3 linked regions of the Coturnix japonica genome follow. The protein of the gene in region 1 interacts with the protein of each later gene in a pairwise test. Links are inferred from orthologs where the notes say so. Each region holds a gene or a part of one and is shown on either strand. Other genes may lie near its edges.

Evidence for each region.
Region 2: the proteins of RASSF5 (region 1) and RASSF2 interact in binary tests that used the Homo sapiens proteins (3 or more experiments, as listed by UniProt). The link is inferred for Coturnix japonica from reciprocal best matches to the Homo sapiens genes RASSF5 and RASSF2.
Region 3: the proteins of RASSF5 (region 1) and MYLIP interact in binary tests that used the Homo sapiens proteins (3 or more experiments, as listed by UniProt). The two-hybrid records come from large-scale screens. The link is inferred for Coturnix japonica from reciprocal best matches to the Homo sapiens genes RASSF5 and MYLIP.

What each region holds. Positions count from the first base shown.
Region 1 is NC_029541.1:2,733,817-2,741,641, forward strand, and holds the start of RASSF5 (ras association domain-containing protein 5), read left to right. Parts: upstream 1-1,905; 5' UTR 1,906-1,940; coding exon 1,941-2,334; intron 2,335-6,748; coding exon 6,749-6,861; intron 6,862-7,825. UniProt on the Homo sapiens protein: Potential tumor suppressor. Seems to be involved in lymphocyte adhesion by linking RAP1A activation upon T-cell receptor or chemokine stimulation to integrin activation.
Region 2 is NC_029537.1:1,638,079-1,642,640, reverse strand, and holds the start of RASSF2 (ras association domain-containing protein 2), read right to left. Parts: upstream 3,199-4,562; 5' UTR 3,122-3,198; intron 2,685-3,121; 5' UTR 2,534-2,684; intron 1-2,533. UniProt on the Homo sapiens protein: Potential tumor suppressor. Acts as a KRAS-specific effector protein. May promote apoptosis and cell cycle arrest. Stabilizes STK3/MST2 by protecting it from proteasomal degradation.
Region 3 is NC_029517.1:67,510,470-67,514,877, forward strand, and holds the start of MYLIP (E3 ubiquitin-protein ligase MYLIP), read right to left. Parts: upstream 3,199-4,408; 5' UTR 3,048-3,198; coding exon 2,961-3,047; intron 2,350-2,960; coding exon 2,159-2,349; intron 1-2,158. UniProt on the Homo sapiens protein: E3 ubiquitin-protein ligase that mediates ubiquitination and subsequent proteasomal degradation of myosin regulatory light chain (MRLC), LDLR, VLDLR and LRP8. Activity depends on E2 enzymes of the UBE2D family.

The DNA.
Region 1 (7,825 bases):
TTGTCCCCAGCCCAGGATTGGGATGATGCACAGAGGGAGAGTAGCACCCAGTGCTGCTCCTTGCATTGACAATGGGGAATATTCCCTCATTCCCCTATATGCCTATAGGGAGGGATGTGATGCAGATCTTGCTGCCTGGCTCTCAGCATGGACACAGGGGGAGCAGGGAGCAGTGGCTCCAGTCTGTCCTGGCTTCATTTTCATGTAGGAACAGGAGAGTCAGGAGCTGCCCCTGTACAGGAAACCACTTTCTTAGTGGTATTTGGCACCAAATCTGTATATTCCCATTCATTTTAATTGTAAAAACCAACATCCCGACTGCCAAACCCAACCGCTTGCTGTGGAAGCAGTGGAGCAAAGCCACCTCTTAAAAGCTTCTCTCCTGCAAATTATTTCCTAGGGTTCTCCCAGCTTCACAACCAGCATTTCACTGAACCCAGGTCCATTGGAGCTGTGCTGATGTGGACCATGTGAGTGTTTGACCTGGAACGTGGTTGGCTTCAAAAGGAAGGATTTATTTCTTGGCGTGCACCAAAAGGAAGAGCTGCTAATAGCCCTTCAGCTGCCATAATGCAGCAGCTGCAAAGAGGACTCCCAGAATCTAAATGAAATAGGGATTTTCTTGCCTGTGTTCATCAGGATTTAGTTTTTCCCCCCCCCGAATTCTCAACCCTGCTCCTGTTTTCCTGCATTAGCTGAAAACCTGCTGAGGAAGCAGAGAATGGCAGTGAATCTGCTCTATCTCCCAGTCTGGAAGGAGAACAGATAAAACATCCCTCTATGGGGAAAACCATTTACCCAAGGACAAATCTGCTGCTGGTCTCATGCAGAAGTAGAGGATGCATGAAAGTGAATCAGGATCCTGAATGGGGAAAAAAAAGACCTTCCAATATGAGTCATGTTACTTAACAAACAAAAATGGGATTTTTCAAGCTGTATTATTGCTCCTTTCATTTTAGGCTCTTATTAGGGGTTGCCTATTGCAATCGTCTTTTGTAACTCAGAGCCAGATCCATCCTTCAATTTAAATTATTTCAAAGGGATTTAAGCATCTTTGGCTCATCCCATCCTCAGAAACTCGCTTTGTCTCTTTGTCATCAGGCCTTCAGAGCAGCACCTGATCCAAACACCCTCATCTCTGCACCCCAAAAGCATTGCAAATGGGCGTCCTCAGAGCTGCAGTGCTGGAACCTGTACAGAAGAGAGAGACTCCAGAATCTGCCCATCATATTTTCCCTTTCACTTCTCCCACAACCACAAAAGCCTCATCTGGGAGAGTTTAATTGCTTGGGCTCTCAGCCCTCAGCATCACTCCGGTGCCCTGCTGTCATTTCAGAGGGGAAAAGGTAATTTGTTCCAGCTGTCTGTGCAGCCTGGTCCATGCTCTGTGCAGGAGGGTCTGTGTCTTCAGCTCAGTGTATAAAGCAGCACCTGAGAGGTGATCGCCCTGATTCTGTAGGGGCAAAACCTGGGATGGGGATGGGGATGGGATGGGATAGAAGGGGATGGGATGGGATGGGATGGGATAGAAGGGGATGGGATGGGGATGGGGATGGGATGGGGATGGGGATGGGATGGGATGGGGTGCTTCTGCGCTCCTGCAGTGTCCACTGGGAACAGCTTTATGCTGCACGCTGCTCACCCCATTTGCACAGCCGGGATTAGGGTGATGTATGCGTGCAACGTCCCCGGTCCCGAGAGGAGGAGCGTCCCGTGGGGAGCGGTTACACAACAGTGTGGGTTGGGATTCCATGGGGAAATCCTAAAGGGGGGTGGAGAAGGGGGGAAGAAAGAGAGGGGGGGGGGGGGGGGTTTACGACTGCGATGGATCCTATGGGAGGAACCGCTGCTCCGGGAGGGTCACCACGAGAAGATCCCACGCGGGGCCGCTCCCCGCACCACCCCCCCCTATATCAGTGTCTCCTCCCCGGGGCGGCCCAATGCACCCGCCCTGCCCCGCTCCTCCCGGCCACACCGCCAGCCCGGAGCCCGCAGAGCGGCGTGCCGTGCCGTGCGGTGCCGTGCCGTGCCCACCCGTGGGGCCGAGCCCCTCGCCTGGCTCCATGCGGCGGGGTCCACCCGGCCCCGCTCCCCCCTGCCCGGGGAGCCCCGGCGGTGTCAGGGCAGCTCGACGGCTGCGGAGGCGCGGAGGGTCCCCTCGGCTTTTGCCCGACGTGCGCAACATCTTCTCGGCTCCTCGAGAAGCGGCGGAACGAGCCCACGGTCACGGTCACGGTCACGGTCACGGTCACCGCTTCGTCCCCCGCGTCCCTCGCTGCGGTTGGTGCGATCTGTGCGGAGCTGCCGTGCGGGATCGTGCCCTGCGCTGCGAATGTGAGTGCTGCTGCCGTCCCGCAGTTCCATCCCGCACCGCATCCATCACCCTGCCCTACTCCCCACCAACTCCATGCCCCCCTCACCCCCAGCCCCGTGTCCCCCCGCAGAGCTGTCCCCCGTGGGGTGCGGATCCGTGCGGGGGATGCGGGACTTGGGGTTTTTTTTTCCTCCGGGGAAGATGGGATTATCGGCTCATCGGGGCGGAATGGCTCGTGGTTGTGCCGCCTTACGGTGGAGCTAAATCCTTCCAGGAATAGCACGTTGGGAATATCTCCTTTAGGTTCTTTGGGCAGTGAGCAGTGGGAGCTCTCTAGGAAGACTCGCTGTGCTCCCATCGGGTGCATTAAGATTTAGTTCTGCAGGAAGGGTTGGCGTTCCCATCGTGTTTAAGGGGTTGGGAAGAGGGGGTGGGAGTGAATGGGGTGTCCTGGGTCAGACGCAGCCCATGTGCATCACTGTGTGAGGGGTGGCATAAGGACCAAGCAGTGAGTTACAGGCAGCAGAAGTCGAACCTGTTGCCTTGTTATTCCATATCTTCTGAATGGGGAAAGGGCTTTACATCCTATAGACTATGAGCAGTGCCTGGGGGCGGCGCTCCTCCTGCCCCAGCCCTGTGCCCAGCTGATGTTTTCAGGTAACTGAGGGAGCATCCCGATCTGACACGTTAATTGGCAGCACTTTGTGATGCTGTGAGTGCTATAAAAGGGGTGTTTTGAGGGATTTCTTTCCCAGGGCTCTTTTACGAGTGATATTGAAAGAAGCCTGCAGTGCTTGCTTCCCTTTTCGTTTCTTCTGAGAGCTGTCAGGCTGTGGGAATAGATCAGCCTCTAAAATTCCCCAAACAACGACGTGTTATCGCTGGGGGGAGGGAGAGAAACTTCAGTGGGACTCTTAGAACATCAGCACCCATCGCCCTCCCCCTCCTCCTGCAGCACATCCGTTTCTGTTGGGGTTTTTTTCTTGCTGTTTGTTCAGGTGGGGCGGAACGTAGATGTTGGAATGTGAAGGTGACAACGCAGCTTCCAAGTCTGTGCTGAGATTTATTTGGGTTCTAAGCAGGGATATCCGGGGTCGGGGGTGGTTCTGGAAGCAGAAACTCCTGCTCCTTCCCCTTATCCCCTGCATTATGGGCTGGGCTTTTCCCTCAGGCATTTTCCAGCCTTAGGTCCTCTCTCATCCTGGCAGCTCAGGGCATGACTTACAGCCCTTGTATTTCCTGGGCTGTGCTTATCAAACTGCCCTATGGGGTGAGCTGGGTGTGCCCTGCATGGGTTTGTCCCATAGACCCGATCCCTCCCCAGGACATCATGTCACCCCACCAGCACTCAATGAGGTTTCCTTGCAGGACAATGGCACAGCTCAGTCTGTGTTCCAGCACTGTTGGATCAGGACCCATTTCATTGAGAAGAAAGCTGGCACAACACACAGCACTTTGCTTTCTAGCTTGTAAACTGCAGCTCTGCCATTACAGGTTCTGGAGTGGCTGTTTAATTATCAGTGCTCAGTAGCAGGTGTGGATGCTCCCAGCTGGGCTCTGGGATGGGGTCTCTGCCCACACCTGCAGCACTTTAAGTGTGAGGTTTTCCCATGTCTCCTCCCTGCGTGTCCCTCCCATTTCTGCTCTCATCACTGTAAACAATAATTGCCACCAGGAGCCACAGTTTTGGGGCTTCCTTAGTCTGGTTTGGGCAGATTCTTGTTCTCCCAGCAGCAGAGGATGAGGGTGGTGGGGAAGGTGCAGGGCAGGGCACAGGGATCAGGTCTATGGGGCAGGGCACAGCAGGTATTGCTCACTGGGGGACTCAGCATTGGCAGGCTGCTATTCTGGGGGGGGCTCAGGTCCTTGGGTCACCCTTTGCTGCTGCCTTCCCATCCTGTGCTTATGGAGGAAGACACCAATGGAGGCTTTGGTTCACCAGGTGAGGTTTGGGTTGTTTCTTCCTTTCCTGGTCCTGTAGCTGGGCTTGGTGGTCTGGGTTGGGAAGAAGGGATGTGTGTGAGCTGCAGGGTTGGGGGATGCTGAGGGGTGAGGAAGGAATTACTTTGTATTATCCTGTGCTGCTTGGTGTGATGTTTGGATTTAGTGAGCTTTTATCTCTGCAAATTAATGGATGAAATGGGTAGAGTGTGTTGTGTGGGATGCTGGAAACCTGCCCCATGGGTGAGGGGATGGCTGTGATACAGAATGGGGAGGTTTTAAAGCCCTTTGTTGGGTGATGGGATGGATACGAGCATCATCCAGCACCTCACGTGGCTAGAAAGGATGGATGCTACAGGAAAACTGCAGCACTGATCCAAAAACCTGGCAGGGCTCATGTCAGTATTGCTCACATTGCTGATCTCAGTGTATTTCTTTAATGTTTCATTCAATATTGGAGGCTTTAGACAACCACAAGGGAACAGCAGTGAAGTGGGGATGTTAGAAAGGGACCTCCCAGCTCAGCCAGCTCCTGCTCTCCCTTCTAATCTCTTCCGTTGGGTCTTTTTATCTTATCAAGTAAGAAAAAGAAAAAGCCCCCGAAATAGAAACTTTTCCATGGTGAACAGGACGAGCCCTGAGGTGTGTTAAGCCCCGAGCTGTGCAATGGGCTCCACTGTGCTCTAAATATATAAATAAATGTATCCGTCAAATAGATTCACCGATGGCTCATGTCAATGCTTTATCTCCATGGGATAAGGCTGTGGAGGCAGGCGCTGCTCTGCGCAGTGCTGTGCTGCCTTGGGAGTGTTGGTCCCCCTGCTGAGGATGTCGGAGGGCAGAGCAGAGGCTGCTGTTTGCTTTGGGTTCATTGCAAAGAGAATCCGCAAAGTATTCAGGCACTTTTTCAAGTCCAAGTCTTGCTCCGAGGGACCGCAGAGGCTGAGCAGGGAGGGCTCATTGCTGAGAGGTAGGGGCTGTGTTTGGGTGTCTGTTGGTTGCTGTTGTTAATGAAGGGGGGTAATGGGGTTCCATAGAGCACAGCTGGAAGTGCTTCATGCCTCAGCAGGGAAGCTGCTCCATTAAGAAGCAATGGCTTTAGAGCATCACCCACCCAGTGGCTGCTTTGTGCTCCTGTCCCAGCTTGGTGCAATGGCTGGGGTTACCCTATGAAGCTGGACAGCTTTGAAGAGCATTATATCAAAGGATGCCAATGGCACACAGGGCTGGGCAGGGTGACTGCAAGCTGCGCTTAGGCAGATGGATGAGCACCCAGATGGGGTTCAGTTGCACATCCAATGTTATCACTCTGATAAGCTTTATCTGCATGCAGAGGGAAGTTCCTTTCAGCTACTAAAGTTTCTTGCTATGTTGTGATCAGACTCGAGGGTTTTCTTTACTTAAAGAAGCTGTTTCCAGCGGTGGCTTTGTTTGACTCGAATAGAAATGATCTCACGGCCGCAATGGAGGCATCCTGCCCCATCACGTGGCTGCTTCCCAGGGCTGTGCTGGGCTTCTAAAATTAGTGCTGCCCACCAGATAGTGGTGATTAGGGCTGCTAATAGGCGGCGGTGACTAAGGAGGTGTCATGCTGTAATCCTAAGGGGGAAATGCCTGGCTGTGATGGGGGTGGACTCAGTGATTTGTGGTCTGTATTTCACACTACAGACTGCTCCCCATTGTGGGTGCTCCATCATTCCCATCCTACATGCCGTGCATGGGGACATCTGAATGTGATGCCTTTGGGGGCTGCTGTGTTGGTTGCTCAGGTGGGGCTGCAATCACAGCCTGCTGTGCTTGGCACCTTGCAGCATAGAGCTGGCAAATGTCCCACTGAGCAGCTGCTCCAGCTGTTTGAAAGGTCATGCATTGCATTACCATGCAACTGCTTGGCTTATCCCTCATTAAAATTAAGAGGGGGGAAAAAAATCAATCAGAAGACCCCCTTGCTTGCCTCCCAGCCTTGAGACAACCAGCTGGAAATGGTAGGATGGCAGCTGGTGTCAATTGAATGCTAAGCAATCAATGGTTCCTCTGAGGGAGATACTCAGGCACTGCGTGAATGCTCTGCTCCTGCTTGGGAATTCCTTGATAGGGGCAGAGATCTGATTCTATGGGATGTCACTTTGCTTTCTGCAAGTCCAAGGGGTTCAAAAGCAATGACCCAAGTGCCCAAAAATAATAGAGGGAAAGGCAGGTTTTCTTGTAGAGGGGGCCTCTGCAATGCTGAGGGTGTTGGTTTTGGGGAGGAGTGGGTGCTGGGTGGCCAACAGGTCAATGACTGCACTGGAATTGTGGGTTGTGTAAGAAATAATTGATTGAATGCTGTTTGTGGGGCTGTTAAAAATTAAAAGGGCTGTTGGAGTGGGGGGAGCACTCAGAGGGGCTGGATGTGGCTGCAGACAGCACCCATGGGTGTTGGTAGAGCGCAATGGGGAGGACATGGGGCTTCTGGCTGCTCTCCCATCACAGCACGGCTCTGTTCTCTCCCAGATTGCAGGTACACGTGCCATCAGCAATGCTGCAGCCTCGTCCAGCTGGACTGCCGCCGGCCTGACCCCGGGCAGCTCTCTCCTGTGGGCACCATTGTGCTCCCCTGCAGCCAGGTATGCCCTCATGGTGGTCAGCCTCTTTCCCAAAGCCCATTTCTTTGCTCTTAGCAGGGTGAGATTTCATTGCAGAGGTCGGCCCGTGGCCCTAATTGATGCTTGCTAATAAATTCCCTGTGCATCTTGCTTCTGTGCCCATCATCTGAAAAGGGAATAGGTGCCAGAATACACTGGGGAAATGGAGAACAGCACACTGGAAGGGTGGGAAATGCCGTGGCTGGTGTAGTTGGCAGCCAGTAAATAGTATTATCAAATGTAAGCAAAGCAGGAGCATCGGAGAAAGTTAGTAAAGTCCTGTTGGCACTTCATACCAAGCATTAATAATATGGGCCTTGATCCAGCAAAGTACTTAAGTGTGTTGTGTTTAGGTCCCAGATTGCTCTCCCTGGGTGCAGTGCAGCCAGCACAGCCTCTGCCTGGCTCAACCCTGGGGCTACAGCACCTTGATGTGGGATTTCCTACAAGAACAAAGGATTTGAATCATATTTTCAGCCTTGATGTCACCAAAGGTGATCTCCAGCTGACCCAGCTCTGCACCTGACACAGCACTTGGTTCTGCTCATGCCCTGCACGCTTGATTTAAGCCTATTTCTCTTCTAATTATGACCCAGCGCTGCAGAGGAGAAGAAAAATGCATTCCCTGTCTGCAAAGCTTCTAAATATTTGCGGCTTGAGCATAACTAGAAAGCAGCCTGGAGCCTCCTTATCTACACTGGCGGATGGGAGCAGCCCCGAGCTGGGGTCTGTGTCAGGCTGAGTTGTGGAGCATGAGTTTCCATCCCCCTGCAGTGAGGGGGTTGCTGCAAACGGGGTCAAGGAGCTGGGCAGCATTTCCTTGGCTTGTACCTACACAGCTCCCAAAGCATCTGCAGAGCAGATGGACCTTCACTGCCCCCTGCACAGCACTGCAGGGCTTGTACCCCTTCCCCACCTCTTTTTGGATGCAGCGCATCTCTGCGAG
Region 2 (4,562 bases), on another chromosome or scaffold:
TTTGGGGCAGCATCTGTGGGCGCAGGGGAAATTAAATGCTGCTCCTCCAACAGAAGCAATGGGCGGGGAAGCAGGAGGGGAAATCAGATAAGGGGAGAACCGTTGTAAACCCACTGAAAATTTAATACCGGCAGAGATACGCTTACTCCAACATTTGCATTTAGAGCAGCCTCCATCCATAGGCTGCACAGCCAGGCAAGACGAGGTGGAAATAAGTGGGATTTCCTCCTTTTTCTCCTCTCCCCCACCCCCCATTTATATGTTAGGAAGCTGTGGGTGGATCCAGCTTAATGCTTGTTCATGCTGTCCCAAATGAGGCAGCACGCATGAAAGCTGGATTCACAATAGAACCACTGGATTGGTTTCTTGCTTCTTTTTCCTTCTTCGAATGCAACACCCACTGAATTTTTGCATTCCCTCCAGTGCCAAAATATCCCCATCACTCTCATGCAAACCCTCAGGAACTGCGCCTGCAGCCCAACCTTTGAAGTGGTTTGGCCTTTAAAGCACGAGGATGTTTCTTGGAAGCTACAGACCGGAATCGAATGAGATCTGGGGCAAAACCTTTGGGGTCACCCATTTGCTTGGAGCACTTTGTGAAACAGGAACTGGAGAGAAGCTGAACTGCAGCTTCAGAGTGGTTTTAGGCTATGAGGGGTGGCTTTTCAGGTCTTGCTTTTTCCCATGTGTTTGCACAGATCCTTTTTCTGAGCTCCTCTCCCCTCTTTCTCCTCACACAGAGAAAATAAGGCCAAAAAACCAAACACTTTGTGCACAAATTGCAGTTTTCTCCACTTCCCACATCGAGCTTCACAGTCCCTCCACACCCCCAAAGCTCCAAGAAACCAAAACTTGAACTGCAAAAGCAAAACCCCAAACCCACAACGATGCGCCATCAGTGATTCAACCAAGGCCATGGGACTAAACCTGTGTCAGAGGAAACCAAAAACCCGAGCGCAGCAGCAATCCTTATCCCAAGCTTATAGCAAACAAACCACGCATCAGAAAACACTCACGGTCCAATGCAGGGAAATGTTTGCAAAGGCAGAGCAGAAAGCAGAAGAGAAACCTGCCCTGCAAAGATTGCATCTTGCAGAGGAAAAGCTGACGAAGCCGCACGCTTCCGGATGAGCAGCATTGCAGCCCCATATCAGCATGAGGCCTTTACCCCATCCACGTGGCTCATCACAGCAAGAAAATAGGGGAGAAACATTAATGATCCTCTGTGTGCATGGAGAACTACATAAGGAAGGGGAATGCTGATGGTGTTGGGATAAATCCCAGCACAGCATTGCATGGCACCAGAATTTGGGTTGAGCCAAAGCATTGGCAGCTGTGGTGCATAGAGCAGAGTTGGTGCTTTGCTCATTCAATCCAGATGATGGAAATAACAATTAAGGGAGAATAACGTTGCTTGGGTCATGCAAAAACATCACCAACAACACCAAAGCAGCCAAAACAAACCCCAAACCCTTCGCAATAAGCCTAGAGTGACACAAAGGGCCAAAGCCCAACCCCTCGCTTCCTGAAATGGGGGAAAATCAAAGCAAAAAATCAATCAATCCATCAATCAAAAAGCACCCCCAAAAGTGGTTTTTTCTCCTCCTGAACGCTCTCAGAGTGGAGCTGGGTTTCCTGTTTACCGCCCCGCAGCGCTGCCACCTTCGCCTCCGTCATCATATCCCCTTCCGAGCAGCCAGGAACGGGGCAGTTCTTCCTTTTTTGGGTCTCGAGAGCATCGGGCTGAGCAAAGAGGAGCAGGCAGCCAACAGAGAGACCCAAACTGCAACCCGATGGATTACCTGCTATAGCCTTGGTAGACCTGAAGTGCTGGAAAGGACCCCAGTAGAACAGCTGGAAACATGAGCATTGCCCAGTCACTTGCCCAAGCTCTGCAGTTGGCATGGATGGGCTTTCCAGGCATCCCCGTGCCTCAGTTTCCCCAGTTTTGATGCATTTCATTCACATTTGCCATGGATTGAGGACTCAGAGCAGCCTGAGGGCTGTATCAATGCCTTAAATTAATCAAAGCAGCGCTCTCTGCCTACAAATAGGACCCATCAACCACTGCCACCATTGCTTCCAACCCCAAATATAATCCCTCCTAGCAACACCCTTCCTAAGGCCCTTTACCTGGCCCCCATCTACTACTCCATAGAGGGCACAACCAAGCTGCTGCTTCTGCAGAGCTCCTGGGGAGATACCGAGCAAAAAGAAAGCATAAAGAGGGGAAAAATAGAACAATATCCAAATATGATATATGTGAGAGAAGGGTTGCGGCCATTCCTGTAATGAGAAGTGTGTTTTTGGGGGCACTTCCTCGCTGCTTTCAGGGCTGAGGATTTTCCTATTGCACACTGAGGGATTGTGGGAATATCCCAACCCTGCCCTGACCCTGCCCAGGGCAGTGCAGCATCAGAGCATCCATCGATCCCAATGCAGAAGCAAAGCAACATCTGCAGGGGACAATTATCCCCTTTTAGGGGCTGGGAGAGGCATTGCTCAGCAATGGGCTCCGGCTGCACATCCTCACCCACTCCAAGCAGATCCCAGCAGCGCTCCCGATGATGGTACCCAGCAGCTCCGGCCCAAATGTTGGTTTCAAGCAGGGATTTCTCCCCTAGCTAAGCGTGAAGGTGAGGCGGTCCCATTGTTTTCCAGCTCTGCTATTGTTCAGCTCCGTCCTGTTAAAGGGGAGAGGAGGGAGCGGTGAGGAGCTGCCGGGTGATGGTGGTTGGGTTGATGGCACAGGGCTGAGCGAGCGGACCCTTTGCTTGAGCTCATTCCCCCCCGTGCAGAACCATTGGCCGTCAGTAGCTCCATAGGGGCTGCAGGGAACGGGGCTGGGGGACTCAGCCGTGGGTACGGGGGAACCAGTGGGAAGGATTAGGGTTTAGGGGTCGCGTGCAGGGCTGGGACCCCGCAGATGGGGGCTCGCATCTCCCTGCTAATACAGCCAGCTTCGAGAGTGAAGGCGAAGGCAGCAATAAGGTGGCACCGACGGGAGGGTAGGGGGTCTGTAAAGCCACCCTCAGCCTCGGGGATGGGGATGAGGACAGGGATGGGGAAAGGCAAAGGGATGGGGATAGGAACGCGGCTGCCCCGTCCATCCCGCACTCACCGGCACCGCACCGCGCTGCTCCGCGCCGCGCCCGCTGTCCGCTTGGGGCCGCCCCCGGTGGGGCGGAGAGGGGAGGAGAGGGGCGGAGATGCGGTCGGGGCTGCGGGGAGGGGGGGAGTGGAGGAGGGAGGCTGAGGTTTCTAGTGTCTCACAGCCCTTCCCCACGAACACAGAGGTTCCTTCGGCTGGGGGTGCGCTCCGTGATGTCCGGATGGGCAGGAGGGGGTACCCAGGGGATGGGGAGTATGGTCATAAATGAAGCCTGGCTCGGGCACCTGGGGCTGAGTTCCCAAAGGTGCCCCATCATAAGCACCAGGGCTGCAATCCTAAAGGTTATTTCATGTTATTATCAGGACTGGGCTTCCAGTATCAGGCATAGGATGGCAATCCCAGAGGATGCTCCATCCCAGGTACCAGGACTGTAATACCCAAACTTACCGTATCCCAGATAGTAGGACTGCAATTCCAAAGGATGCCCTAATCCAAGTACTAGGACTGGGTTTCCCATCCCAAGCACCACGGCTGAATTCCCAAAACATGCCCTATCCCAGGTACCAGGACTGCAATCCCAAAGGATGCCCCATCCCAGGTACCAGCACTACGCTCCTGAAACAAGCCCTATCCCAAATACAATGAGTGTCTACCCAAGGGACATCCCATCCCAGTACCAGGATGCTCCATCTGAGGTACCAGGACTGGGTTTCCCATCCCAAGTACCACAGCTGAAGTCCCAAAACATGCCCTATCCCAAGCAGCACTCCTGCAGTCCCAAAGGATGCTCCATCTCAGGCACCCAGCTTAGAAACGCTCTCACAATCAGCTCCAGCTTAACACACTATAAAGCAGTTATTCCTGCCTTGAAATGTTCCAAACCTTGTGATATTCAGAACCAGATCCATACACGTTCCACACGTTGTTATTCTGCCTTTGGGGATGGTGTTATAGGGCTAGCGAACAGCCATGGGGGGAGGGCTGGGGGTGCACAGAGGCACTCAGTATTCTGTTAGAGCAGCAGAGCCTTTGTCTGCTCCTGACCTTTCCCCACTGCTTTGTGGCTTCCCTGCGCTTTCTTTTTCTCCCCCTTCTTCTCCTTTTTTTAAGGAATTTAAATAGAAACAGCCCACACCAGGGGGAAGAAATAAATAAATTAAAAGGGCAGAACACAAAGGAACGATCTGAACAGCTGGTTTAGGCAAAACAAGCAGCTCTTCACAACTGCAGATTGTAATCAGTGTGTGTGTATGTAAAATATGAGGAGTTCAGGAGGAGCCATCTGGCGTGGGGAAACACTGACATGGCAAAAGGAGAAGGGAAGGGGGGGCAGCAAGGGGGGATTATTGATATTCCAGCAGCATCTTTGGGGCTGGCGGAGCTGAGAGGCCCTTTGTGGCCATAGAGCAGAGCTGCACAAAGCCCTGAAATAGGGGGTTTATCCTTCAAG
Region 3 (4,408 bases), on another chromosome or scaffold:
CTTCTATGATACACCCACCAATTCACTGACAGGTTCAACATGTTTTTACCTTTTCCTTCATCCTACCCAAGTTTAAACTAAACTAGGGGTGCACAGCTAAATCCTTTAGCAGACCTGAGAAGGAATAGCAAATTTAATGTACCTCAGTGCCAGCACTACGGAAATACACACTAACCACAACCACCGTGGAGCTCTAGATCTGCCACATGCAGGCAGCTAAAATGCAGCCAACGCAAACTATTTTGCAACGTGGATTTAATTATTAATGCAAACGCTTTTAGCACAGATACTCAGTATGTGGACTGAACAGCTGACTTTGATTTAGCATTTCATGTGATTATCTTGCAAGTGCGAATGCTCCTAAGGCCCCAGATAAGCAGTTTCTCTCCAAATCATCAATTCATTTTCACCATGGCCTCATTTTAATAGAGCTCTCATTGACTGAGTCTCAGTGTTAGACGTGTTTGTTAAAATACTTTCAAACAGCCTTAATTCACACATAAAAGAGAACTCATCCCACCTGCAACCTCTTAAAGTCATCTTTATAGTGGAACACACTCATGACTTTGATGTATGTACATACAAGTTATTTTGCAGTCTAGCTACAAAACCTGCCTTTTAGGCCCTTGGGGTGTGTTTCACCACTTCAAGCTCTGTTAGTAGCTTACACAACCTGCCAAGACTTGCACTGATGGTGTTGAAGGTAAGAAGACAGGTGTCTGCAAGAGCCATATAAAGCAGAACAAGCTCTCAGCAGCAACAGCAAAACACCAATCACAGTTGCACTTTGTTTCCTCAGATTCACAATGGCTTTGCCTGAGTGAGGAGCTGCATCCAACAACATACACAGCAATTTCATCTGCCTCATCAGGAATGAGACCCTGTTGCTTCTTTGGTTCTACATAAAAATCCTTTATTTCCTCCTTTCTTTACTTATATGCATTTTGAAGAAAAGTATTCAGTAAGAGCCCAAAGACATCCTGGATTTGTTGGACTATATTTGCCCAACTGAATCTATTATGCCAGATAAAGTCATACAAATAGCATTCAACTTCAAACAGATTGGGCAATAACCACTCCCCAAAGCCTCACCCCTATACATTAGGGAAGGAAAAACTCAAGACGTCCCTTCCTATGAAATACACACCAAATCAAGAGCCAGTTTATGACCAAATTAATTACACAAACATGCTGTGCAGAACAAGGGCGTCATGTCTGTGGTCTTAATTCTGATAGTACAAAGTAAAAGTGGATAATCATAGAATTACCCAGGTTGGAAAAGACCTTGAAGATCATCAAGTCCAACTGTAGCCTAACCAGAACCTTAACTCTAAAAACCCTACACTAAATTGTATTCCTGAGCACCACATCCAAACGGCTCTTAAACACAACCAGGGATGGCGATTCAACCACCTCCCTGGGGAGCCTATTCCAGTACCTAACTAACTCATTCTACTAAATGAAGACATTTTGGCACTACCAGCCAGACACTAGATTTCCATCTGCCCCATTTACTACCTAAAACAAAAAACATTAGTTGAGAAATCAGTATTAAACTTAGTACCCAGCTTTCCTTAAAGAGAAAGCAATTGGAGATCAAGCAGTAAGGCAGTAATCAAACTCAAGGAGTGAAAGCAAGCACGCCTCACTAATCTTAGCAGTCCAAACCTTAAGGCTGGGTAGCAAACAATTTAGTTACTAGGACAGGCTACAGAAGCCCAACAGCTGTTTCTTTTGTAGCCTCACAGGGCCTGTAGCTGTTTGAAAGTTACTGTAACATGATACCAGACAAAAAGGAATTCAGCAAGTTTTTGCTCTGTGGGAGGAATTGTTTCCTGCCTTAGAACGACCTACAGTAACACCACTGAGCTGGGGTTACTATCGGACACACATTTGCCATCTAAATAAGTTGTTACTGTTAGCTCAGCTTCTTCCAGCACCAGTTTCTCATGGAATTAACTACATACATTACTGCTAGCTACTCACACCATTACTTTTTCTTTCTAGAAAGTGAATAACACGTCTAAATAGTGGATTTAAACTGAGTTTAACAGGGAATATCAGAAGACGGAAGAAATAGAGCCTCCACATAATCGTTTTCACAAGTTAACAAAACTGAGAACAAAATTAGCTTTGCTTACAGCCTTCTTTACCTTACCTTGTCTGTTCTTGTAAGATAAGATGCGGCTCTACAAAGAACTTGACTCTTAATTTAAACCGATAAGGAGCTAAACCATCCATCTGCTGGGAAATCCTGTTCCTCAGATTCAGCCATAGATTCTCCCCTTTGCTGCCAGTGAACTGCAGTCCGAAATAATCGACTTCTATGATCCCCAACCTTCTGCAAACCTGAAAGAAAGAGGTCGTTTATAAGGCACGAACGACACGATTAGACAAAGATACCCCGGCTCAAGTGTGAGCAGCTTGAAACGAGAGAGAAACCCTGTTTGCAAGCATCTTTATACGAGCAGATTTCCAAAGAGCGGCGTGCAAAGCGCTACGTAAACAAGCTGGCAACGTCCCCACTAGCCGACAACAACACGGACTTTATGACCCCCCGGGGGGGACAGGCTCAGCTTCACCCAGACACCACGCACAGACGGGGCGGCTCTTCCCGCAGCCCCAGCTACCGCGGGCCCCACCCGGGCGGCCTCGCAGCGGCCCGACGGGTCCTCCCGTGCCCCCCCCATCCCTCGGGGGGTATGGGGGGAGGTTGAGATGGGGCCGCAGCAGCGAGGCCGAGGCCTCCCCAGCCCCCCTCTCACCCCCTTGTTGGCCCGCCCTTCCCAAACAAGTGAAGGAGAAAGGCGATAACCAGCGCCGGGCCGGAGAGCGGCGAGGAGAGGGATGCGGGCAACCCGCATCCAACATGGAAGGGGGGGGGGGGGGGAAAAGGGAGAAAATAATGGGTTGGGGGGGGGGGGGAGACCGCCACCCGCCCCACTGGGGACGCCCCTCACCTGGTTGAGGCAGTCCTCGCCGTTGGCTTTCGCCTCTACCTCCACCTCCATCACCACCGCGTCCGGCCTGGTCACATAACACAGCATGGCTGGGGTCGGCCAGAGCTGCCACTGCACCGCACCGAACGGCTGCCAACGCCGGCACTGACGGGGAAGGGCGCTGTGCTTGCGGGCTGCGCCTCCCGCCGCCCACACCCGCACACCAACACAACGCAACCACTATCCACGCTCCGCTGCCGCCGCTCCCTCCTTATATACCCTCTGCCTCCCCCCTGCGCGGCACCTGCGGACCAATCGCGGGGCTCCGCTCTCCGCTGCGGGCCGCTCGGCCGCCAATCAGAGCAGCCGTCTTCTGGAGAACGGCTGCGGTTGATGTGGGGGGGCTGTGGGGCGCCCCCTGCCGGCCTGGGGGTGTGGTGAGGAAGGACGGGATGAGGATGGGGGAAGAGCAGGTTGGGTTTGGGAAAAAACAGTTCCTTTGAAGGGAATTTATGACAGGGAGATGAGCCACCAACACAAATCACCGAATATTTTGCCTTTTCCACTTGTTTCTTAGTTTATTTTGGAGTGGGGGCAGGAAAAGTTTGTTTTATTTCTGTTTTCTTGCACAGATGCAGCAGGAAGGCGAAGAAATCCTGGTAACAGGATGTTGGTTTTACCCAGCACCAAACAGTGATGGCCAGCTTACAGATAACAGGCATTCCTTACGCATCCATGCCACTCATGCACCACAAACTGGCTCTCCTTGTTTTCTGTATAGGTCTGGCTCCCCTCCTAGAGGCCTCATTTTCTGCATACATCAGCATACCTCCTGTGTTTTCTTCTTGTCTAACCTAACGCAGATGAAGGTGTTCTTATTATGTCTGTAGGAGCACTATCCTGCTTTGAAATCTAAGCCTAAAGCCACCAAAATAGCTTGTAGCACTAGATCGCATAAGTTGGTTAAGCCCTGTGCAAAACAAGCATTTTCAAGCGTGGCAGCAGGATGCTGCTGTCACAGAAATGCGTTCTTTTCTGCAGGCCCTCTGTGATGTTTTATTCATGCTGCAAGGAGACAGGAAAGAACCGTGTCCTATACTAACATACAAGGGAGAGCTCCGGCATTGAGAGTGCTTTGCAGTCTGTTGGGCTCTGCCTGAATGAAAAGCCCAAAGCCTCTTTCAGTCCCACTTAGGCTCTTTGGTGGGTCAGTACCACTCATAGAGGCACACTGACAGATGCATGCTCAACTATGGAGTATGGTAGAAGAGCATTGCTCAACAGCATGCCACCTTGGTGCCATACGTCATGACATACTTAGTGCTGCACCATAGCAATGCCTCCAGGATGGATCAATCTTTCACTACAGTAGTGAGTTGTGTATAAATTGCCCAGGTGTAATCCCTGTACAAGGTTCTTTTTTGGTCACACCCTATTTCACACAGTAGGTACTGTTTGTAGTGCCTCCT